Linked DNA regions of Cricetulus griseus. The protein of the gene in region 1 purifies or fractionates together with the protein of each later gene. This does not show direct contact. Links are inferred from orthologs where the notes say so. Each region holds a gene or a part of one and is shown on either strand. Other genes may lie near its edges.

Region 1 (3,183 bases):
TGGAACTGCTAACTCTGTCATTGCAAGAGCATCAAGTGATAAGATAGATGAAGGGACTGTCATGTCCTCGGAGAACAAGCTCCTTTGTTCCCCAGCATCAGGGTTCTCAGGTGATAATGAACCTGAAGGCTCTCCCTCACCTCAAACTGTAGGGCAGGGATTCCCAAGTCAGAAAGCTGTTCCGATAGCTTCCCAGGGATTCCCAAGTCAGAAAGCTGTTCCGATAGCTTCCCATAACCAGAGTGGCTAGCCTACTGTGGCATGGCCTCTTAGTTCTACTTCTGTTTGCAGCGGTAAGCAATCAATTGCCATTGATGACTGCACCTTCCACCAGTGTGTGCGACTCAGCAAGTTTGACTCTGAACGAAGCATCAGCTTCATCCCACCTGATGGAGAGTTTGAACTCATGAGGTGCCACTGGGGTGTGAGGAGGCAGGGGGTGCACCTGGAAGAGGTGGGAGGAAGAGAGCGGGACCAGCCCTGTGGTATCCAATCTGTTCTCTCCTCCAAAGATATCGTACCACCAAGGACATCATCCTTCCTTTCCGGGTGATCCCATTAGTTCGGGAAGTGGGACGCACCAAACTGGAGGTCAAGGTGGTCATCAAGTCCAACTTCAAGCCCTCACTTCTGGCCCAGAAGATTGAGGTGAGGATAAGGAACTTGGGGAAGGTGGACTTGACTCGGGAGTAGGGACAGATAACATTAGGCCTTCACAGAGCTCACTGACGATTGTGTCACTTCTAGGTGAGGATCCCAACCCCACTGAACACAAGCGGGGTGCAGGTGATCTGCATGAAGGGGAAGGCCAAGTACAAGGCCAGCGAGAACGCCATTGTATGGAAGTGAGTCTTGAGGAGGCCACAGCCAGGCTCAAGATGCCATAGTGTACCTTCTCGTTAAGTTTCACCTTCTGTCCTCTTATGTGGATTATGGGGTGAGAGAAGTGTGCCTGCTTTTCTAGGAGCCTGTGTTTGTATTGTCAGCTGAGAGAGACACAAAGAGACAGTGTGTGTGTGTGTGTGTGTGTGTGTGTGTGAGAGAGAGAGAGAGAGAGAGAGAGAGAGAGAGAGAGAGAGAGAGAGAGAGAGAGCACACGCACACCGGCACTTGAGCTTGTATGTGTCTATTTTTCAAAAGTATTTCCCATTGACCCTTGTCTTGTGTCTGAAACATACAGTCTAGGTAAGGGAGATCTCACCCATACGTGTAAAAAGAAATTGAAGCCCCAAGTGCTTAAGGTGTAACAAGTAGTTCTCAGGGCCCTGAGCTCGCATCCTTACCCTGACACCACCCATAAGCCCATATGCCCTTATTCCCTCTCCATGCTTGAAATAAGCAATCCCTACTTTGAGAATTCTCCAAACTATCACAGGCCACTACTGCCCATTATCCCTGTGTTCCTAGGATCAAGCGCATGGCAGGCATGAAGGAATCACAGATCAGCGCAGAGATTGAACTTCTGCCCACTAATGACAAGAAGAAGTGGGCTCGACCCCCCATCTCCATGAACTTTGAGGTATGGCGGGCAAGCCTAGTGCCATGGCTGGGTGTGATAGGAAAGTCTTTCAGATCAGTCTCTGCTCCTTGGGGGTGAGGAAACTGGGAAGTGTCTTGAGTTGATAGACCCATCCTCTTTAAGCCTCTTAATAGAAGTCAAAATTTGATCTGACAGAAAGCTTGACTTCTTGACTTGTCACAAAACAGTTCCTGAGAAACATTTAGATTGTTTAAAAGACAGTTAAGAGAATTTTGTTAGAGACAAGACAAGCTGATGTTGCTTTGTGTGAATTAGACATCATATTCTCCCTTCATTTTTGCAGTCCATGGTGTTGACAAGGATAAGTATGTCAAAGGTAGTTCTCTGATTACCTCCTGACATTAGAGGAATGGTTATCATCACAGCTGGGGCCTTCTTCAGACATGAGATGATCATAGTAACTCTTCACTTGGTAACCTCCTAGTGAGCTCCCCCACCCCAGCAATTCAAAAACACCTGTGGTAGATAAGGGCAGTGAACCATGGAACTTGCCAGAGTAGATCCACTGTGATAGGAAGGCCATGTTCCTAACTGGAGCTGTCCTCTGCCCAGGTGCCATTCGCGCCTTCTGGCCTCAAGGTGCGCTACTTGAAGGTATTTGAACCGAAGCTGAACTACAGTGACCATGATGTCATCAAATGGGTGCGATACATTGGCCGAAGTGGCATTTATGAAACCCGCTGCTAGCTGCCTAGTGGCAGCTGGCCCACCTCCCCACCCACCCTTTTCCACAGGTTCAAGTACCCCAGTGACCACTCGTCAGTGTCTTTCCTCCCTCCTGCTTTGCTGCCTTTCCTTTACTCTAGCCCCTGAGTATAGGTCTGAACCAGCCACAGTGGGACTGCTGAGGCGGTCCCCAGCTTCCTGGGCAGGGTGGTTTTTGAGGCTTCTCTTCCATCTATCTGTCCTGGCTTAGTACCAGGCCCTGAGTTTTGTGACCAAAGTCAGGTGGCCCCCTCTCCTTTCTACCCTTGTGGCCACACCTCTGCAGTAGGATGGTTGACAACCCCTCACCTCAGAGCTCCCCTAAAGGCCAGTAACAGATCCCCAGCCCTTAACCCCTACTCTGCTTTGGGATAGTATGCTTTGTTTTGTACACATGTGACTTCGTCCAGTTATAAACCCAATAAACTGTAGAGTGGAGTTGTTGGCTAGTGTTAATGGGGCTGTCGGGGAGGGTCTGGTGGGCCTGTTAACTCTGTGTAGCCCTGGCTGTCGTGGAACTCTGTGTGTGGACCAGGCTGGCCTCAAACTCACAGGGGTCTGCCTGCCTCTGCCTTCTAAGTGCTGGGATTAAAAGTGTATACTGACATGCCAAGCTTTGTTTTGTTGAGTCTTGCCACATACTGCCCTGGCTGACCTAGAACTTACTATAGACCAGACTGGCCTTGAAGTTTTGGTGATCCCTTTGCCCCTGCCTCCCAAGTGCTGCTATTACACACATGTGCCTCCACTCCAGGCTTTGTTTGCTTTGAGCTGGGTTTTCATTGTGCAAGCCCAGTTGGCTGAATTCAGGATTCTCCTGCCTCCACCTCCCAAGTGCAGTGTTGCAGATGTGAAGTTTTCTAGTTAGCATATATCAAGTAAGATTTGTATTTGTGTCGGGCGTTGGTGGCACACGCCTTTAATCCCAGCACTTGGGA
Region 2 (3,500 bases), on another chromosome or scaffold:
AGGGTTTCAGAGCTGGCATCTGGACTGCTGGTTGGGAAGGTGGCCTCAGCACAGGCCTCCTGGACTGGAGGCCTTGTGTGTGAAGGCAGGGTAGCTGCTGTTCCTGCCTCACCTCTCTTTTCCTGGCCCTCTCCAGGTGGGTGAAACAACAGAGTGAGTTTGCAAAACAAGCCCAGAACCCAGACGAAGGCCCCAAATTGGACCTGGGCTTCAAGGAGGGCCAGACCATCAAGATCAACATCGCAGTGAGTCCTACCCTCACTTGACTGTGTGGGCCATGGTTTTGTGACTCTTGAAGCCACCCAGCCCAAAGTCTCCCAATCCCCCGAATCCTTCATAGTTTACTTCCATCCATGTAGCCATAGTTGACCCATCAGTTTGGCCTCGTTCACCCCAGGGTACCAGGCCTCTGCTTCCATGGCTTTCCAAGTTGAGCTGGCCATGTACAGATGCGATTGCAAAATGGCAGGAGAGCAGCCCTGCTACTAGGGCTTCTGGAGGAAAAACACATGGCCCATAATGCAGGAATCCATGGAAGCCTTCTTGGAAAGAGTGGCCTGTGGGCGGGCATGAGGGATCAGAGGGTAGCCACTCAGTACCAGTGTTTCTGTCCTGGCTGATGGAGTGATCAGGAGGTTCAGTGTGCTTATCTCACGCTGTATCTTGGCCTCATGCCTGAGTGAGGAAGGTTTGGGAGCACACTGTGCTGGAAGGAATCGTGGATGGATGCTGAGAGCCAAGGCAGCTTCTGCTGGTGGTACTGTCCTGGCTCCTTGAGTCTTCTTCCTGTGTGGCTTTGCATCCAGCATCCCCTGCCAGCACTTGTCATGGTGAACTGGGTGCCCAGACATGGTCTCTCCCTGGCTGCTGGAGTAGAGGGGTCGGTGGAATTGGAGGGCATTGGGGGAACCAGGGCCAAATGGGTCTGTTTGGAGGAAGCGTGTGACTCTGAATTGCTTGTCCTCTTTACTCACCGTTTCTTTCTCTTTCCTGCTTCATGCTGGTGATGCTTTGGAACCTTGACGTTGGCCAGCTGGCCCTTGAGAGAAAATGCAAGGCCAATCCAGTGGACTAGTGGCACTGTGATTCTTTCTCTTGCTTGGAAGACACTAACATTTAATGAGCGCCAGCTGTGGGCCAGGTAGTGTTTTCAGGCATTTCTCATATGGCTTCAGGATGTCCCTTTGTAAAAGATGAGAGATTGAGGCACAGAGCTGGGGGGGGGGGACTTGGCCAGGGTAGGAGAATTAGAAATAGTTGGCCCAGCTGGATGCACGTGGAGGATGCTGAGTCTTCCACCCCTGCCACACTGTGCTCACGCAGAGCTGCTGTCCTCATCCACGTGGCTCGTGCCGGTTTCCGGCTCACACTTGGTGCTCAATGCTTTATTATGTTGTGTCGAAGTGTCACGTGCAGAAAAGTGCTCAAGTTATAAAACCGAACAAAGGGCTGGGAAGATAGATGTTGCAAGCCGGACAACCTAAATTCAAGACCCACATAAAAAGCAAAAAGAAATGCTGGGTGTGGGAAGCACATGCTTGTAGCCCAGTGCTAGGGAGACAGACTGGAAGGTCCCTGGTGCTCACTGGGCAGCCATCCTCACCTAAGTGGTGAGGTCCAGGGCAGCGAGAGATGTAGACTCGAGGTGGCTGGTGTTTCCACCGAAGATGGCACTCAGGGTCAACCTCTGGCCTGCATACTCACATGCATCCTCAAGCACATGTGTGAACACACACACACACACACCCTACCTTCAAAGCATGGGACTTCCCTAGGTCAGGAAACACACACACACACACACACACACACACACACACACACACACACACACACACACCCTACCTTCAAAGCATGGGACTTCCCTAGGTCAGGAACCACACACACACACACACACACACACACACACACACACACCCACCTTCAAAGCATGGGACTTCCCTAGGTCAGGAAGTAAAAGACTGTGTTGGGAGCCCTTGTCCTACCCACTTCTGGTAGCTTCCTGCCCTGACTTCAGATACCCTGGATTGGGTCTGTGCTTCGCTTTTGTGAGTTGTGTGGGAGAATTAATCCTTTCGTATATGATCCCCCTCATTCAGTGTCATGTTGTAAGAGTTTCCCATATTGCTGCCTGGGTGGTTTGTCCTCTGTGATGGCACATGCCATTGTGTGTGTGCTCCTAGCTCATCTGTCTCACTGAGGATAGACACTGGGGGGATGCCATCTGGTGAGCTCCAGCTGGTGCTGCTGTGAATGTTCAAGCTCATGTCTTTGTGGAGCACATGTGTCTAAGGATGAGACCTCAGAATCCTGTGATGCGCTTAGTGGATGCCTTTGGCTTCTTCAGCAGAGTCCTCTGACCGGCTTCCCTTACCCCACTGTGCATGAATGTTGTGGCCGCTCCGTCCCTGTCAGTACTCTGCAGTTTTCATGGGGCAGAATGGTGTGTGGCTGTAATTGTTGTGTACTTTCCTTATGAAAAGTGAAATCAGGTGCTGGGTTTTAACATCGACGGCATTGGTGCTAGATGGAAAATTGGGATGGCCTGGCTATAGCTCCTGCTGCTGCTGAATGGGACTATCGTTTGCTGTACAGATGCTGAGGACTGGAGGTCTCCATGGGTTTTTCCAGTACATGATGACTGTGGCATGATGGCTGATTTGCATTCTTCTCTTCTCTTTAGAACATGAGAAAGAAGGAAGCAGCACCTGGGACGCCAAGAACCAGGCCTGCCAGCACAGGAGGGCTGAACCTGCTGCCCCCTCCTCCAGGGAGCAAGACCTCCACTCTTATCCCTCCCCCTGGGGAGCAGTTGTCTTTTGGGGGCTCTGCAGCCCAGCCAGCAGTTATTTCTGTTTCAGGTGAGTGCTGGGGTGACCCCTGCATCTGTAGCTGGCAGCTGTGATCTTGTTGCTTCCCTTTCTCACACTCCCTGTGTGTGTGTAGATGGTGGCTCTAGAGTGTGTCTTGCATACACTTGACGTTCTTCTATTTCCTGGCCTTTCTCCTTCCCCTTCAGGACATCTGTCCTGTCCTGGTAGGCAGTGACTGTGAAGTTCTCAGTGTTCAGGTGTCTGGGCCTCAGTGTGTTATCAAGTAGTCTGTGCCCAGATGTCATGGGAAAGGTGAACCACAGGTGCACAGGCCAAATGTATCGGGCCCAGGTCACTAGGGCCAGCAACATCCCCCTTGGGGGACTTTCCGGAGGAGCTTAGACTATGAAGGAAAGCCACTCGTCAGAGGTGTTGGCATTCTAAGTAGAAAGAAGAGTGAGACCAAGGCTCAGGTTTTGAGAAGCACTGTTCTGAGGTCGATGCAGCCATTAGTGTGCCATGTGAGCAGGAGACACCACTGGGGAGATCTGGTGTGGGCTCCTTGGTGCACCAGCAAGAGCTGGGAAGCTGAGAGGCTGCTCCCAGTGGGCAGTGCTGGGGAGCTCTTTCCCTATACTTCCCCAACAAGCTGGGATAGTCACCAGCCCTTTTCCACAGCATTGTCAGCAG
Region 3 (3,500 bases), on another chromosome or scaffold:
TCCTTGAACACAAGACTTAGCTCCATTCCACTTCCTGGTGCTCTTTTTCTCCTCAAAATTTACGTTTTGTTATTTACCCTGCTCAGCTTGCTCCTTTGCATCATAAATCTTTATAAGGGTGAACACTAGTAACCACATGACGGAGTTTGTTCTAGGCTGTTTTGAGATTTCCTCTGTCGACAGAATTAAACCATATCTCTTCAGTTTAGCCTCAGGCATTATCTTCAGACAAGGGCAAAAGGCAGCCACTTTCTTCACCAAAATATCTCAAGGACTATCTCTACGCAACGTATTGGAATTCTTCTCTGAAACCTCAGGAGTGAGCCTCTGTCTTCTTCCATGCTCTTAAACAGAGCTTAAAGTATTCCACTGCTTTCCAAACCTAAGTACCTAAGTCCAAATTCCTCCAAACAAAAACATGGTTAGGCCAACACAGCAGTACCCCAGTCCCTGGTACCAACTCCTGCTTTAGGATTTTCATTGTTGTGAAGAGATACCATGACCACGGCAACTGGCTCACAGTTTCAGAGGTTCAGTCCATTATCATGGCGGGGAGCATGGCAGCAGGCAGGTGGACATGTGCTGGAGAAGGAGCTGGGAGGACAGAGAGACAGACACAGACACACCGGGTAGTATCCTGACCATAGGAAACTTCAAAACCTGTCCCCACTGACACACTTCCTCCAACAAAGCCACATTTCCCAATAGTGTCGCTCATTATGAGATTATGGGGGCGAATTATATTCAAACTGCCACAGGTTTCTATATGTAACACCCCTGGCTGCCCTGGAATTTGATTTGTAGACCAGGCTGGTCTCGAACTCACAGAAGTTCATCTGTTCTGCCTCCCTGGTGCTGGGACTACAGGCCTATCCCACCACACCTGTATTAGACATTAGAACACGAGGCCCCAGTTTAAGGGGAGCGTGAGTTATTTTTCATGATTATTTAATAGGCAGAAAGAATAGGCCCTCTAGCATAGCGGAAAAAAAAGGACTGAGGCCTCAGGCTTGCCATTTTCCTTTCACAGGGCATCTGACTGGAAGTTAGACCAGCCAGATTGGACTGGCCGCCTCCGAATCACTTCAAAAGGGAAGATCGCCTACATCAAACTGGAAGATAAAGTTTCAGGTAAGCGCAGGGGTGCTCTCAGACATGGGGGTGCTGGGTTGGTAGGCTTTTGTCAGTAGACTCAGATGGGGGACTGGCAGGGAAAAATCCCTGTTAATTGGAGTTAGCTTTGCTTCTGATGCTCAAGGAGGTCTCTTTCTTGCTGTTAGGGGAGCTCTTTGCTCAGGCACCAGTAGAACAGTACCCTGGCATTGCTGTGGAGACTGTGACAGACTCCAGCCGCTACTTCGTGATCAGGATCCAGGATGGTACCGGTAAGGAAGCTGGGGTTTCTGGTGGGATGAGACCAGGAAATAGCGAATGAGCTCTGATACAGTGGTTGTCTTCCTTTTGCTAACTTTTCTTCCCTTGCTTTCAAAGTTACTATGGTTATCAAAGAAAAAGGGCTAACATTTTATAGACGTGAGCATAAGTTCAATTGAGTTTAAGTTAAATTAATCAAAATGCTTATTTAACAAAAGACATGCACTACCATGCCCAGCCTCCTCATACTTTTTAATAGATTGGTAACCAAAGACAATAAATATTTTTGGCTTTGTGGGCCACGTTGTAAGTGCTGCTCCCAGTTTGGTGGTTGCAGGGTGAAGTAGCCACAGACACATTTGTCCAAGTTGATGTGGCTGTATTCAGTAGAACTTTATTTTCAGACTCTTGCTGTGGGAAGAGTTGGCCTCATTCGGCTGCATGTTATCTGCTGCCTGCTGCTGGTCTGTGAGAAAATACCAAGCAGATTTTATGCAGTTCATGTGACATGTTTGTCTCTGATAGGCAGAAGTCGTCATAAGGAACCCGTTTTCTGAGATTGCTCCTTTTTCACAGGGCGTAGTGCATTTATTGGCATTGGCTTCACAGATCGGGGGGACGCCTTCGACTTTAACGTTTCCTTGCAAGATCACTTCAAGTGAGTGAAGCTTGTCCTTAGATTTCAGGGCTAGTAATCCCGGGGTGGGAGTGCTGCTTCTTTCTGTAAGGGAGTTCCTCTCGCCACGTGGTTTATTCAGTAGTCTCTTCTTTACTTTTTCCTTACCTTTGTACCTGCTGTCTTTCTCTACAGCCTGTAATATATTTTAGGTCCTTGTGCGGTGGTTTGGGTTGATGCTTGTTTGTGACCATGGGGAATTTACCTTTCTCCTAAAGAGGTGCTGGAGGGTGGCACACGGTGGCAGCAGCCTGTCCATGACAGGTGTGTGCCCGTTCTGTCAGTTTGGCTGCTTGTGTGTCTCCTGCCTATGTATCTTCTTCAGCCCCACTGAGTTTGGCACAGCAGTAGTGAGCAGCACCTAGCACCACATCACTTCCTGTCTCTAGGACGGTGTAGCCCTCTCTTCTTATTGCTCCTAACTCTGACATTTAAAGCCCCGAGATGGAACCTGCAAGAACATGGTAACCGACCCCTCTCCTTTGGGGCGGTACTCTGCAAGGGCCGAGAACCGTTGGGAGGGATGCATCTCCCATGCGTTCCCTATTGCCCCTCAGTCTGAGCCCAGCTGGCCTCTTGCAGACTCTTTTCCCTTTTCTTTCTCATGTCTGATGGGTCCCCACTCGGCTTTCTGGAATTCCAGTTGTCTGAATGGGATTTAGCCAGATTCCTGTCAGACTCTGCTTCTTCAGGGAATTCCAAACTGAGATAAATTATTTCCCCAAAGGTGGGTGAAGCAGGAAACTGAGATTTCCAAAGAATCTCAGGAAATGGACAATCGTCCCAAGTTGGATTTAGGCTTCAAGGAAGGTCAGACCATCAAGTTGAGTATTGGGGTAAGTGTGATTTCTTCCTTTTTTTTTTTTTAATTTTCTGTGTATGGGTGTTTTCCTGCATATATGTTTATGCACCACAGGCATGCAGTGTCTGTGGAGGCCAGAAGAGGGTGTTGATCCTCTGGACTGGAGTTACAGGTGGCTATTAGCCGCTGTGGGGGTTGTGGTGGTGCTGGGATTCAAACCTGTATCCTCTGGGAGAGCAGCCAGTGCTATTTACTGCTGAGCCATCTCTCCAGCCCCTATTTTCTTTTAGGAGACAAGGTGTCACTGTATAGCCCTGGTTGGCCTGGAACTTGTTATATAGATCAGGCTAGCCTTGAACTCACATATCTGTCTGCTTCAGCTTCCCGAGTGCTGGGATTAAGGGTGTATATTGACTGAGATTTTTTTAAAAAATTATTTTCCTGTTGTTCTTTAGGTCAGTGATCTCTCTCTCTCTTACAGAACATTACAACCAAGAAAGGAGGTGCTTCTAAGCCCCGGGCCTCAGGGACTGGGGGCCTGAGCTTACTCCCACCTCCACCTGGAGGCAAAGTCACTATTCCCCCACCATCCTCTGTTGCTATCAGCAACCATGTCACCCCACCGCCTATTCCAAAATCTAACCATGG
Region 4 (3,130 bases), on another chromosome or scaffold:
AGTTACAGGCATGGTGGCACATGCCTGTAGTCCTAGAATATGGGAGCCTGAGGCAGGAGGACTTCAAATCAGAAGCCAATCTGGGACATATAGTGATATCCTATCTCAAAACTGGAGACATGCTTAGGTTAGACTAAAAACAGGAGTGGTGTAGTCTTTCAATTCAATGTAAAATGCTTGCTATTTAAACTTTAGTGATGACTTATCACATAGTGATACTTTCCCTTCCCTTCCTTGCTTTTTTTGAACTTAGAATCTCACTAGGTGGCTCAAGTTGGCCTCAAACTTGTGATCCTCCTGCCTGTGTCCTGAGTGGTGGAATTACAACCATATGGCAGCATGCCTGAGTGATGCATAAGATTAATGCCACCGGTGATTGGTGATCGGAAGCTGCCTTACCTGGCCTTTCAGGGAACACCAAAACTGTAAAGCAAAAACAGGCAAATTCTGCTATATATAAGAACATCAGATAGATTAACAGTATGTGAACCAAATATTTTTAAAACACATTATGAAGATTCTTTTATACATAACCCAGTGTGTATATGTACATATATATACACATATATATATGTTTATATATTTAATAAAACCTTAATATTGATGATGATTAGATTGAAAAAAAATATTTGTCACTACAATCAAATTACAAAGAAACTAGATACAAAACTCTACTTGGTTTCAGTGTTGACACATGAGGAGGCCCATCAAAACAAGTGAAACAAACTAGAAAGCTTTTGACAGTGTACATGTATCTCTTGGTATGGTTGCCAAATCTCGAACAATGAAATTGGAAGACTTCACTGTGAGCTACTTTATGCTGTACTGTACTGATATTCTGAGTATGAAATAAGCAAAATGCCTCCACTATTGTTCAAGATTCATTCCAACCAGGTTTTGACTTGCAGGACCATATTTAACATACTGAATGTCACAAACTCCCGTGTTATTTTATACCAAGGATTACAATCTAAGAAAGCCAATTCTTTTCTTCGTGAAACAACTCAAATTCCACCTGATATGGAAGATGATCCTGAGGTGCCATTTCTTTTCAATATTAAAAATAGGGATTTCTATCTTGTTCCTTCACATTTAGGAGATGCCACGGAACCTAAGAGGACAGACTCAAAAGGTAGGTACTGCAACTACCTTAGCTGCATATGGATTCCTGCCTGTCCCTTTTCTAAGTATGCAGAGTAGCAACAGGGATAAAATAACTACTGAAATGACCCAAATGGTACCCAGAGGAGGAAAACATTAGGCAAACTGTGGCCAGGGACATTTGGCCACTCAATCTCGAATCTCCAAAGTCAAGGATAAAAGGTGATACATAGGGAAATTCCTCTTACAGAACAGGCAGTAGTAATGAATGTCACTTTGACTGAAAAAAAAAAAATCTGGTAAAATGAAACTTTGTTAGCTACTTTAAGAATTTCATTAAAAAAAGATCTGTTTTATCTGAGCAATGACGAAATACATGATGCAGCTACAACTGGTTGCTCCATTTCTCCATAAAGGCCTTGCCCAAGCTGTTCTCATAACACTTCTCCAAGTTTCTTAAAGAATTCTTAGATTTTTTTTTTTTTTTTCCCTAGACAGAGTTTCTCTGTGTAGCTATGTAGACCAGGCTGGCCTCGAACTCAGGGAGATTCACCTGCCTCTGCCTCCAGAGTGCTGGGATTAAAGGTGTGCACCACCACCACCCGGCAAGAATTCTTAGATATTAACAACAGTTTATTTCGTAAAACTGAAAAGGGTATCATGGTAGAGCACAAACTTAGCATGAATGAGTAACTGGGTTTACAGACTGATAAAAAGAACCACAACAACAAACCATGAAAGCTAGTACATGAATATAGTGGGTAAAGAGTGTTGCTTTGTATTCAAAGAACCCCAGCACTGTCCTCTCACAGAAACTGCCAACCAGTCTCTAGAAACTGCTAAAACTTTGTACACAAACACACATACACAGTTATAAATATACAAGCTTGTTACTGGCATTATACACAGTAGGCAGACAGCAAACTTTTAAATCACCATCATGCATGACAATTTGCCAAATATAACTGTTGAGACTTTACTTATATTTATATTACCAGGACTGAAAGACAGGTTTATAAAACAACTTGTTTAAAGAACCAAGACAACTAAAATCAGCTGAACAATGGAATCATCTAAGAACCAGCAAAACAAATGCAAACAGATTTTGCTTGGGGAGAATAAAAGATAATTTTTAGTATGTTGGCAAAATGATGCAAATTTGGAAGACTATGAAGAAATCTTTGACAACTCTTCAAACTATAATGGAAAGATTTTCCCCCAAACAGCCCATTCACAGTACTTACAGCACTGAAGTTAGCAAAATTGCTTGGGTCAGCCTCTTTATTGGTAGTGGCAGTAGAAGTGAATGGATCACAAAACATATCAGGATCTTTTTCTTTGGGACTATCATTGCCTGGGAAAGGCTGAAATGGATCATTCAGTTTAAAGGGATCAGAAGAATCCAATTTGTTGATGGGTCTTTTCCCTGGATCAAAATCATTACAATTAACCAGTAGATATAGAAAACACAAGCACACAAGAACATGTTCACAGGGAGCGTTAAAGAACTGCAGGTGGGGGACAGAGGTCCAGGCACATTCTCAATGTGGCCCTCAGTGGTCACACCACTGTCCTCAAAGCTTTCACACTTCTCTCTCAAATAATTTCAGGTGCAGCTAAATGGACAAAGACCAAAACCAAAAAAGTGGAAATGAGCTAAGAATCATGATCTTGTCCAATGATGAAGTCTTTCTCCATTTAAAGAGGCATGCTCCTAAGAAAGATAATGATAAACAAGGAACACTGATAAAGAATAAACACAGCCTCAGCCTCTCACTAGCGGCAGCAAAGATATGTGACTCTGAAATGTGGCAAATTTCTTTTGTCTTTTCTCTAGTATATTTACACATACATAATGCTAGCAGCATAAAACATAAGATTAACTTGACAAAACCTCTTATTTTTTTGCCATCTATAAAACTTCAAGCTGAGGATGAGAAACACTTCGAAGTCCATAGCCTTTATAAAAAGCTGCTGACAAGCTAAACTTTGACCAAGAAACAGTATAATTCACCACCCATCATTTCAA
Region 5 (3,719 bases), on another chromosome or scaffold:
GGTAAAGCAGGAGATTGTCACCAAAGTTACATCAAGCTCCATTGGCCCTTGGAGTGAAGAGCTGGAGAACCGACCCCCAGCAGCACAAATAGGCCCCTAGCCCTAGCATTATGCAGGCAGGGGTTGGTGGTGGTGTGTTCCTTTTATCCTCCACCTAACCATGACAACACAGAGGTCAGAAATGTATGTTATGGACACTAGATGAATATAGGCCCAGTGGACCAAGGTGGGGAGAATGAACCATCTACCTGGCCCCTCTATGGCAAGCAGCAGTCCTGGGATAACAAACATGGAAGGGACCACCCGGTGGCTGACTGCTTTCAGCTATGGAGAAGGAAGTAGGAGCAGTGCCCCAGGCATGGCTCCTGCAGCACCTATTTCTTTCCTTGCTTATGCTGATGCTGGGCAGGCCATCACCTGTACCCTTTGGGCACTCAGAAAAGCAAGGACTGGGGAGGGCTGGACCAGGTTTCAGGGGCACAGGCAGTGTGGCTTCTGGCTGTGTACATAGGGTGCTTTATTCTCCACAGAATGATACATGCTAAGGTGGGTTGGGCTCGGGCCAATGTCCCCATATGTACAGAACTGAATAAAGTGGGTCTCTGAGAGTCTGATTTGCCTTGATGTGGAAAGGGACATGGGAAGGTGGGTGTTAAAACCAGAGTTGTGTTAGTCCTGTGCTGGTCCCGGCTTGCAATGTAGGGAGGAGACGGGGCAGCTCTCCGTGTGGTTACTTCCAGGCAGGGGATGCCTGCCGGGCTTGGAGGGCTTTCTGTACTACATCTTCCCACTGAGCATCCGATATCTCCCGAGCCCAGGCAGGGACCCCTGGTGCAGGCAGGCTTACTCCAGCCATCGTCCTTTTCACCAGCTCCACGTGTTCTGAAAGCATAGCCACAGGCTGGTTAGGGAAGACATAAGGGACCACTTCTCCCTATTCCTTGAATCAACACAGGACCCCTGACTCTGGAATCACCAATTCCACATTATTGCCAAGTCTAGCTAAGTAGCATTTCACCTAGATTCTGAAGTCTGAAATCTGTTAACAAACTTTTTTCCCCCCCTTTGGTTTTTCGAGACGGTTCTCTGTGGCTTTGGAGACCAGGCTGGTCTCGAACTCACAGAGATCCGCATACCTCTGCCTCCCGAGTGCTGAGATTAAAGGCATGTGCCACCACCGCGCCTTCTTTTTAAGAGTAAGGTGGTTCTTTGAAACTTCTTACTGGTTTCCTTCACGGGTATTCCCAAATGAAAGAATGAGCTTTTTTACCTGGGTCCATGGGGATAGAGCTGTGGCTGCTCAATGCTGCAGCTCCCTCCTCATCTTCATCCTCACTCTCTAATGGGGGGTCTGGCAAATGAAGCCCCAGGGCCTGCAGAAACAGGAGGTCATTTGCATCCAGGTTTTGGTGCGCTGTTTCACCCTCTTTGGAACAATCCCTCCACCCTACCTGGATCCGGTCTTGGATGTCAGCAGCTCCATCCTCTCCGTCACCCACCGGTGCCAGCTCCACCTCTTCCTGTTCAGGGTCTTGATTGAGGGGCTGGTAGGAGTAGCCTGCTGGGCCTGCTCCTATTTCCTCCTGCTCTTCCTCAGGTTCTTCACTGCTCCAATCCCCAGTTCCTTCTGTAGGACCCTGATGTGGCCCTAAGTCCTCAGATTGATTGGGGAAGATACGTTCAGGGCCCATGGTGTCTCCCCCTAGAACTACTGCTGCCATCCGGGCAGGGGCTGCAAGGACAGAAAGGCGGGATAGGGATTGGATGAAACCAAGTCCGCTTTCATCCCACGATTTGCAGTGTCCTTTTACATTCATAAAACCCACTTCCCTCTCTCAGAGCATCTTCCTACCTTCTCCCATCCCTTGTGCCTCCCCGCCTTAAGTCTGGGTTCTCATATTGAACTCGAGCCCACCAGTCTTTAATTCTCCCGATTCCTGAATAAACAGACAACCGGAGGGCTTCACCGCTTCCGAAGAGACCGTATCCAGAACCTCGCCTTCTCCCGTCACGCCCCTCCCGGGCTTGGCAACTGCAGGTCGCCGGACTACCCACGATCGCGCGTCCCCGCCCCTCATCCCTTCTCTCTGGGCCACCGCAGTACCGCCTAAAGAAAGCCCTTCAATGGCCCCCGGCTGCAGCGTCCCCTACCCGCCCCCACTGACTCTTGGCGTTGGTGTTTGCTCGCGCCTCACCCTCTCAGAGCCCACAGCCGGACCCGCACCTTCACTTCCGGCGGGGCAGGACGCGCTGCGGCTCTTAGTCCTCCAGCCCCGCCCCGTGCCCAAGACTGACGCAAGCGAGGACGAGAAGTCCGCCTCCGCCATCCCCTGCCCGGACCACAAAGAACAACATTACCCAGTGACCCTCGGGAGAGCGCCGTATTCTGCGCACGCGCACCCCCCTCCGGCTGCCAGTCCTGAGGCAGCTTGAGGACTACAAGTCCCTGAGACTACAAATCCCTGAAGGCGTCGGGCCCAGGGTTCTCACTGCGCGTGCGCGCCCTGCTGCCCGCCGGAAGGACGGAGCCTGGCAGTGTTTATCTCGTTGGGGACCGAGGAATCGGTTGGCGCGCAACGGGCTCTAGGCTGCCAGCAGCGCGAGGACCCGCGGCCCCACCCCGGCCCGGCCTGGCAGGTAGTCGGGGATGGGATGAGGGATGAGAAAGATTGGAGGGTCTGGTGACACCCCATCCTACCGCTGGAGTCGCGGGGGAGGGGCTGGGAAGGATGAGATGGCGGTGGGGAAGGAACTAGGGGGATGCTGGGAAAGAGGAGAGTTAATGGACAGCGAAAGGTTTGGGGGAAATGGTGCGGAGATGGGTGGGAAAGACCTGGTGGCTGGAGGAGGCGCAGAAAGAAACTGGACGAGTGTGTTCTGAAGAGAATCAGGAAGCTGAGCATAATGGCAGGGGGAGGGGACAGTGTCTGGCGCTGTGGGGGAGGGGCGGCTGGGAAAGGTGGAATAAACAGCAGTCGAGTCATACTCAGAGGGGAGCGTCTCTGGTTGGAAGGGGACGATGAATGTATTCTTTCCCTCGTGGAGGTAGACGAATTAGAGGGCTCTAGTGTGGGCCTTGCAGTGATGCAGAAGGAAAGGCAAGGAGGGAACCGCAGAGCTCTCAGGAGGTCAAGGCTCGCAGGTGGAGAGCAAAAACTGCAAGCAGTCAGGGAGGGGGAGCGAACACCAAGTGAGTGGAAGATGGAAAGTGTAATGGTGGAGAATGCCGGAAACCCCTGTCCTTGAGTCATCCTTGTGAATGAAGATGATGGGATCTTTATCCGACTCTCTTTGGGATTGATAGTCTCATCTGTGCATTTCCATTTTATCTGGATTTACCTTCAAGGGAGAGTGAAGGCTATGAGGGAAATTGATGTGTGTCCTTCCCCCCCACCCCATTTTTTTTTTTTTTTTTTGAGACAGGGTCTAACTATGTAGCTCTGGTGGCCTTAACCTCATAGACATCACAGCCTCCCCTTTAACCCTGAGATTAAAGGCATGCCCTACCACACCTGCCTTGGACTTCCCTTCTTAAAGCTTTTAGTCAGCTTTCCCGACAAGCCCAGATTTAAGAGCAGGAGCACTGAAGTGAGAGTTACTTTTGGCTGCTGCTATTTCAGGTTGAAATAGATGGCTGTTTAAAGAATACAATGTAGGGTTGAGGGAGGTCGGGGGGGGGGGGTAGTAGTGGCAAGCCAACTGAAGGACAGGCCTGTCTC
Region 6 (3,500 bases), about 62 Mb from region 1:
TGACTGAGGAAAGGGAAAGTCATGCAGCGTGCAAGCGTGCTGTGAGGAAGGAGGAAGTTGAGCCACGAGAACTCTGCTGGTTTGTGAGGAGTGGAGCAGCGCGTCAGTCAGCGTAAGTGAGGGGCCTGTGCATTGAGCGGCCTGCAGTGACCAGGACAGGGAAAAGCAGGGGTTCCCTGGAAACCAAAGTCACCACTGGCCGCAGCACTGCCCAGCTCAGGACCAGGGACTGTGGTACTACAGCCTCGTCACAGTCACAGCAAAGACGATAGCAGGTCTTTCTGAACATTGTGACAGCCTTCAGAAACTGAGGCTTGGAGAAATCCGTCATTGCCCAAGTGTCGCAGAATTAATTATTAAGTGGCAGATCTGGGATTCAGCCCCCGTGCTGAAGTCTCATCTGACCTCGGGCTGGTTCAGAACCTAACATTTAGGGAAGGAGTGTCAAGGGAGATGTCCCAGACTTTTGTAAAGGCACAGAGCAAATGGCTTCCCTTCCACTCTGGCCTGGAAGTCCTGACATAGCTGAGAGGAGTAGGCAAGGCAGAAGCACTGTGATCACTGGGCAAGTAGGAAGCGACAGGTGGAGAACACAGTGATCTTGGTGCTAAAATGAAAGAAAGTCAGAATGTTTAGGTGTAGGGAGGTAAGAATCCATGCAGAGCAAGGGTCAGAGGTCACACACACACTCACAGAAGTTTCCTGTTTCATGCAGTCAGATCTTACCGCAGAAATAAAAATCACCTCAGTCAATCGCAGACAGATCCAGACCAGCTGTCCTTGCACATGAACTTCTGCTCCTTATCCATTTATGTGGAGAATCCAAGTGGGGCTTGTTTTAGTTGTTTAAGTCGCCGCCATGATTTTTAAGTAGATAATAAGTGCCTCACCTGCCTTTGCAGCCTTGTCTCCTGCCCTGCCACTTCCTCTCCTCTCGAGGCCTTTGCCTTTGGCCTGGAGTGCCCTTCTGCAGTGCTAGCTCTCAAACCCTTCTCGTCCTTCAGGGCTCAAATGCCTCTTCCCCTGTGAAACTGTCCCTGGTGCTCCAAGGCAGGCTTTGTCCTTCTTGCCGCTCTGATCTCACGGTGAGGCAGGAGAACTTTTCTGTAGTGTGTTTCACTCCTCCAAGTGATATATTTTGCTGTTTTTCTCTCTTCCTGGTACACTAAGTTCCTATTACTAGAGGATATTCTTATAGCACTTTAATGTTAATAAAATGCCAATTCCCAACTATGTGGAGGGAGCAGAAGTGATGTTTTCCTCATCCTTATAACCCCACGATGTCCACAATCATGGGAAAAAACAAGCACAGTCCAGTGCATGGCCTGTTTTCATGTGTCCACCTAAACTGAAACACCATTCAATCCTGAAATGTCTGCCCCGTTACATCAAAGTATAAAAGATGCACAGCCAGTGCATCTGAAGAAGTAAGGCTGGGTGGGGCTCTGGGAGCGGCCGGCAGGGTTTTTAGATCTCCACATTTAAAATGAACAATTGCAGAGAAGCCACGAGGCGCCTAGCATTCCTGCCAGGCAGAGACGGTGTCTCTGTCTTGGTTGATTAAAAAACTGCAGTGTAATCACGGGTCCTTTATGTCATCCCACACAGGGTGAAAAAGTGGAGGGGCTACAAGCGCAAGCCCTGTATCCTTGGAGAGCCAAGAAAGACAACCACTTAAATTTTAACAAAAACGATGTCATCACCGTTCTGGAACAGCAAGACATGTGGTGGTTTGGAGAAGTTCAAGGTCACAAGGGTTGGTTCCCCAAGTCTTACGTGAAACTCATTTCAGGGCCCGTGAGGAAAGCTACCAGGTACTTTATTGTTATCTGCTTCTGTTTGACGGAAACAGTATTAGCAATTGTTGTCCCTGCTGGTTAGATTCACTGGTGGGAGCTGCAGGATGAAGTGTGTGTGTGAAGGGTGGAAAGGGATCCCGTTCTCCTGAGCAGCCTGTGCACTGTGTTGCCTTGTCTAAGAATCCCGCAGCTGTTGGGAATTGTGACTCTGGATGCTTAGTACCCAGTACAGTACCAAATACAAGGCATTTGGGGAATCGACTGGAAGAATGAATGAATGGCTTTCTTCATTAGTGTCTGCATGTAGCATAGAACTATTGGATTATTCCACCATGCAAAGATAGCAGAAATAGCCCACAACATCTGCTAGTCAGTGCTGAAGAGACTGCATTGAGCTTGTGTGTCCTGTGTAGTGAGTGGGCAAAGCAGACGGGTGAGCGTGGTCACGCATGCCTCCAGCACTCTCACTGTGGCCGTACCCAGCTGCTAGTGACTGCTGCAGCTTTGGTCTTCTGTAGCTTTCAAAGAGAAAAGCAATGTCATTTGGTATTCTCAGGTGAGAGTTAAAATACTCTTTTCTTCCCTTCTTACAGCATCGATACTGGCCCTACCGAAAGTCCTGCTAGCCTAAAGAGAGTGTCTTCCCCAGCAGCCAAGCCAGCCGTTCCTGGAGAAGGTGAGGACGGGGTGTGTCCGCTCTCTTTAGGAGGCTGAGCACATTACTTGGTGCAGACTGTAAATGACCATGACTGGATTCACTTTTAAATAGGCCGGATGTTTCTGTCCTGCCTAATGATGTCTGGCAGTGAGAAGCCCACTGCGTCCACCAGGGGTCAAGTTCTGAGCATGTGTCAATGACGGCCTTGCTTCCCCGTGTAGCCCTCTTGTCTTGTTTACATCCATAACTGTATTGCTTTAAAACTGATGGCACAGTCCAGTGAAGCTCTCAGAACACCACGAGTGCCTTGGGTACACCCCAGCTGAGCCACAAGATCTCTGTGCTCTGTGAATGACCAAGTCAGGTTACATAGGCTTATTACAAATAATTCATTGCTTTTTTCCCCCCTCTGACCCTTGTTATATGGCATAGTCCTAGGTATTATATGCCAGGCTGTAAAAAGAGGTATTTTAAAGTTTTACACAGTTGAGGCCTCACTGGTCTCCTCCACGCTCACCGCAGTCATTACCTGGTAGCGCTGGCCGGGGCCACCTGAGTTAAGCATCTGTGTGGCAGTGAGCAGGCTCTGCAGTTACAGATGTCGGCAGAGGTGTGTGGCAATCTTTTCACAGGTGTCTGGAGTACATCTGTGATGACAGAGTGTGCTTCATGTGCTGTGGTAAAATTGTTGTGTTCCTTAGAAACTTTGCCAGCGGAAAACAGAGTTCTCGGAATAATTGCTTCAGCAGAGGCTGCACGGATGAAGGCTTAATGCTCGTTCCAACTCCCAGGAACACTAGTCCATTCTTAAGGAGACTTTTCAAAATAATGGTTGTTTAGTTTGCAGGCATAGTTGTAAAACCCTATCGCCACTTAAAAAATTCCAAATTTTTCCACGTAACTATTACTATTTTTTATATGAATATACATATTTATTATTATATGGACTCTCCTAGGATAATCTTTACACATTCACATTTCCTTAATAATTATTTTAGCACTATTAGAACAAGGCAAAAACCTCTTTTTTGATATAACATGCT
Region 7 (3,500 bases), on another chromosome or scaffold:
GACAGACTTTTCAGGAAAGCCCTGTTAGGTGCACTTTTCCAATCTTAAGAATATTCATAGTGAGATAGAGGAAATAGCTATGATCCTTTTAAACAACGAGAAACTGATTTTCCCTTTAGACTTGATGCTGTGGTGGTTTTTTTGTTTTGGTTTGGTTTTTTATTTTTTGAAACAAGTTCTCACTATATATCTTTGACTGGAACTCACTATGTTGATTAGGCTAGCCTCGAACTCACAGAGATCCATCTGCCTTGGCTTTCTGAGTGCTAGGACTAAAGGCACGAGCCATCACACTCAGCCAATTCTGAGCTTTTCAAAGCTGTCAGTATTTAAATATAAAATATCTTACTATTTATTCACTTCAAAATTCAAAGATGTACTGAGTTGGTGGATTTTTTTTTTTTTTTTTTTTTTTTTACTGGGTTCTTTTTTACTCAAAGCTTGCTACGTGACAGTAGTTTACATTGGGTGAACATGTTCCTCATGTCACATTGTGGATGAGGGAGTTCTCCCCTGCTACCCCATAGCTCTCAGGATGTAATCTACATTGAAGGCATTAGGCCTGGGTCTTTAGATAGATAGATGCTTTTTGCAGTCTGTACATGACTTTGATTGAATGAATCCAATTTCAGATCCTTCAAATCACTGACTACAGTGAAAGCAGTATTATTATCAAATAAGTCCATACAGTACCAGGAGTAATTACTGGCTTGACTGAACCTTCTCTCTGTGTGTGCTAATGAATGCTTTGCTCTGTTGCATAGCCATTGTAGAAGCAATAAATTTCAGGTAGTCTTGGAAAGGAGAAGAAGTGTACCTTAATTTCGTCTAAGAGGAAATAGCCTATGGAATCTTAGGAACCTCTTACATTTCTTGGTGAGTTTTATTTTGAAAGTTAGTGGCTCCCCCTTCCCCCTTCACTTTAGTTCCCTCACAGAAATTATTACCTGGGTATCTCTGAGATAAATCTAATCTCAGTTGTTTTGCCTGAGAAATTACGGTTGTGTCCATATACACTGTGAGGGAACAGGAAGTCTTCATTCCCTACTGGTTTCTGTATGCAAGAGAGCTATAATGCAAGAAAGAGTTTATTCTCTTCAAAATCACATTCTTCAGCTATTATTTAAAAAGCCACACTGTACCAAACAGGATTCAGCTTAAATTTTGAGTTTAGAATACATTATGTTCAAACTATTAGATAGGGAAATAAAAACTGAGGCAGGGGGACTACTGAAAATTACTCATTGTCAACTGATTAAAATGAAGCACTGCTTTTTAAAAAAAGTTACAGGATTCAGAAATACGGTATTTTTGTATTGTGTCTTTTAATCAAGTGTTCAGCCCCCCCTTTGTGTTCTCTATGGTGTAAATCCTTGATAAGTGCTTTTTCAATAAATCAATTTTGTAGCCCCTTCCTCTGTGCTGTGTGCTTAGTTCCAGCAAGGATGCAGTAGATGGCACTGTGTAGTCGAAAGTCCTTCTGGTGAGGCCTTCATCAGATGGAGAGGGCCCAGTTGGGAGGGAGTGGCCAATAGTCAGTGTCCTGATGGGTTGGGACATTCTGGTGATATGTCTTTTTTGAGCCCATAATGGAATATATTTTGTCCCCTACCCCTCTACCCACCCACCCTTTCTCTGGATTCTTCTTGCTTAGTTACATATGCCTTTTTCCTACCCTCTTGCTAACATGTGCCCAATGACATACTTCTAACCTGCTAATATTTCTTGGAAGGTAAGCTCTATTGCATTCTGATAATTGTGTATTTGATTTTAAATGCCAGAGCACCCAGAGGCACCTCTACCTACATTACCACTTATGCTAGTACATTGGAGTTTGCTAGTATTTCTGCTTAAAGAACTTAATGGCGGATTCATTAAACAGAGATCTTTGCTAACTTGGGACACTAAAAACAAAATTCTAGGGCCACTCCAGCCAAAGTTGCTGTCATCTAGTATGACTCAGAAAGTGCCCTCCATATTTGCATCAGGCACCACGTCCTCTGTGAGCACTGCTTTTACTGACAGCCAAGCTTTCTGCCTGTCAGAGGGTCTGTCTTTCTGAATGTGGAGCACATGCCAGATGCTGAGTTAAGTTCATCCCCAGGCAGTGGTTCTCCATAGCCCCAGACTGTCTGGTGTATGTGGAGAGGAATGACTGGGCTTGTTTCCATTTGGCTCTGAGCCAGGTAGAGCAGGTGTCTGTGCCTGGCCTGCAAGTAGGAGTGTTGCCTAGTTGCCCTGAATGTCTGTGTGCCTAACATTTCCACCTTTCCTGTTCATTATGTCTATCATGATCCAAAGTATGAGATTGTGGTTGTGTCCTCAGTCTGTGTGCATTTACCTTGCTTGACTTTTTATTTTTCTGTTTTTCCATTTTCAACATCTATCATTTGGTTCCACAATGTATCTGCCTCGGTTGACCATTAAATGTTCCAAAAAGCTCTGACCCAGCCTCCACATTAATTCTAAATTTTATGCTTTTCTAGGTCTCCAGAGAGAGCCCAGTCCTTGTCCTGTAATTACTGTAGAGCACTTTAAAGAACCCGTGGGTGCCAAAGGCCTCGCCCTCTATCCAGATCCCTGCAGAGTTCCTGGAACAAAGACCCAGAACACCTTAGAATCTGACTCCCTGACCCGAGAGGGGCCTTCCAGCAATAGCTCCTTCCACAGCAGTGAGGAGGAGGGCACCGACCTGGAGGGGGACGTGCTGGACTGCAGCGGGTCTCGGCCTCTCCTTCTGGAGTCTGAAGAGGAGGATGAGAGCTGCAGGCCTCCCCAGGAGAAGCTGGCAGAAGCCACTCTGTTCTCTGAACCTGGAGTGTCTGCTAACCCAGAAAAGGGGGGACAAGGCGGGAAAAAGAGCCAGTTCTTGCCAGTCAACCAGCAGGCCTCAGATGGTCTCGGAGAGCCTGATGTCTTTGCCACAGCCCCCTTCAGGAGCTCTCTGGTTCCAGCAGATGACATGGACATTTTCTCCAAAGCCCCTTTTGTCTCCAAGGGCAGTTTAGCTCCTTCCCAGACAGAGGAGGTGGACGTGTTCTCCAGAGCTCCTTTTACCAAGAAGAGGAGTGTGGAGGAGTTACTGGCCGTACAGGGCTCCTCACAGGATTTGCCAGTGCAGGCCGGCCTCAGTCAGCCTGGTGAAGGGCCCCTGCTTCCAGGCCTCGATAGAGCTATGTACACCCCTGCCCAGACGCAGGGTGTCTTTACGCAGCAGGCTGGTCTCCCTTCCCACTCTGTCCAGGTGGCAGACCATTTTGACAGCAGCTCTCCCAGAGGTTCTCCCATGGAATCTGGGAGTAATCCCAGTGACAGAAACAGAGGCCTGCAGCCCCAGAAAGAAGCCTTTTCTGGGCCGGTGGCTGGCAAGCAATTCCGCCCCCAGGCTTTGTCCAAATATTCCCGACACTATAGCCCAGAAGATGAGTCAAGTCCAGAAGCCCAGCCCATCGCTGCCTACAAGATTGTTTCACAAAGCAATAAGCAGTTGCTGGCTGGCT

What was found.
Region 2: the proteins of Ap2m1 (region 1) and Necap2 purify together in Homo sapiens (affinity purification with mass spectrometry; 4 studies listed by BioGRID and IntAct, counting the BioPlex papers as one, with this or other methods). This does not show direct contact. The link is inferred for Cricetulus griseus from reciprocal best matches to the Homo sapiens genes AP2M1 and NECAP2.
Region 3: the proteins of Ap2m1 (region 1) and Necap1 purify together in Homo sapiens (affinity purification with mass spectrometry; 3 studies listed by BioGRID and IntAct, counting the BioPlex papers as one, with this or other methods). This does not show direct contact. The link is inferred for Cricetulus griseus from reciprocal best matches to the Homo sapiens genes AP2M1 and NECAP1.
Region 4: the proteins of Ap2m1 (region 1) and Eps15 purify together in Homo sapiens (affinity purification with mass spectrometry; 4 studies listed by BioGRID and IntAct, counting the BioPlex papers as one, with this or other methods). This does not show direct contact. The link is inferred for Cricetulus griseus from reciprocal best matches to the Homo sapiens genes AP2M1 and EPS15.
Region 5: the proteins of Ap2m1 (region 1) and Mea1 purify together in Homo sapiens (affinity purification with mass spectrometry; 3 studies listed by BioGRID and IntAct, counting the BioPlex papers as one, with this or other methods). This does not show direct contact. The link is inferred for Cricetulus griseus from reciprocal best matches to the Homo sapiens genes AP2M1 and MEA1.
Region 6: the proteins of Ap2m1 (region 1) and Itsn1 purify together in Homo sapiens (affinity purification with mass spectrometry; 3 studies listed by BioGRID and IntAct, counting the BioPlex papers as one, with this or other methods). This does not show direct contact. The link is inferred for Cricetulus griseus from reciprocal best matches to the Homo sapiens genes AP2M1 and ITSN1.
Region 7: the proteins of Ap2m1 (region 1) and Aak1 purify together in Homo sapiens (affinity purification with mass spectrometry; 5 studies listed by BioGRID and IntAct, counting the BioPlex papers as one, with this or other methods). This does not show direct contact. The link is inferred for Cricetulus griseus from reciprocal best matches to the Homo sapiens genes AP2M1 and AAK1.

Annotation. Positions count from the first base shown.
Region 1 is NC_048597.1:68,094,040-68,097,222, reverse strand, and holds the end of Ap2m1 (AP-2 complex subunit mu), read left to right. Parts: intron 1-291; coding exon 292-411; intron 412-512; coding exon 513-648; intron 649-747; coding exon 748-845; intron 846-1,407; coding exon 1,408-1,519; intron 1,520-2,092; coding exon 2,093-2,227; 3' UTR 2,228-2,683; downstream 2,684-3,183.
Region 2 is NC_048595.1:12,176,806-12,180,305, forward strand, and holds part of Necap2 (adaptin ear-binding coat-associated protein 2), read left to right. Parts: intron 1-136; coding exon 137-245; intron 246-2,680; coding exon 2,681-2,858; intron 2,859-3,500. UniProt on the Homo sapiens protein: Involved in endocytosis.
Region 3 is NC_048601.1:22,311,587-22,315,086, forward strand, and holds part of Necap1 (adaptin ear-binding coat-associated protein 1), read left to right. Parts: intron 1-1,030; coding exon 1,031-1,131; intron 1,132-1,280; coding exon 1,281-1,385; intron 1,386-1,950; coding exon 1,951-2,032; intron 2,033-2,777; coding exon 2,778-2,886; intron 2,887-3,333; coding exon 3,334-3,500. UniProt on the Homo sapiens protein: Involved in endocytosis.
Region 4 is NC_048595.1:40,446,703-40,449,832, forward strand, and holds part of Eps15 (epidermal growth factor receptor substrate 15), read right to left. Parts: intron 2,528-3,130; coding exon 2,346-2,527; intron 1-2,345. UniProt on the Homo sapiens protein: Involved in cell growth regulation. May be involved in the regulation of mitogenic signals and control of cell proliferation. Involved in the internalization of ligand-inducible receptors of the receptor tyrosine kinase (RTK) type, in particular EGFR.
Region 5 is NW_023276806.1:256,099,485-256,103,203, reverse strand, and holds Mea1 (male-enhanced antigen 1), read right to left. Parts: upstream 2,339-3,719; 5' UTR 2,328-2,338; coding exon 2,225-2,327; exon of another isoform or gene 2,196-2,224; intron 1,733-2,195; coding exon 1,452-1,732; intron 1,374-1,451; coding exon 1,271-1,373; intron 883-1,270; coding exon 731-882; 3' UTR 501-730; downstream 1-500. UniProt on the Homo sapiens protein: May play an important role in spermatogenesis and/or testis development.
Region 6 is NC_048597.1:5,925,777-5,929,276, reverse strand, and holds part of Itsn1 (intersectin-1), read left to right. Parts: intron 1-1,608; coding exon 1,609-1,814; intron 1,815-2,392; coding exon 2,393-2,475; intron 2,476-3,500. UniProt on the Homo sapiens protein: Adapter protein that provides a link between the endocytic membrane traffic and the actin assembly machinery. Acts as a guanine nucleotide exchange factor (GEF) for CDC42, and thereby stimulates actin nucleation mediated by WASL and the ARP2/3 complex.
Region 7 is NC_048601.1:58,727,063-58,730,562, forward strand, and holds part of Aak1 (AP2-associated protein kinase 1), read left to right. Parts: intron 1-2,486; coding exon 2,487-3,500.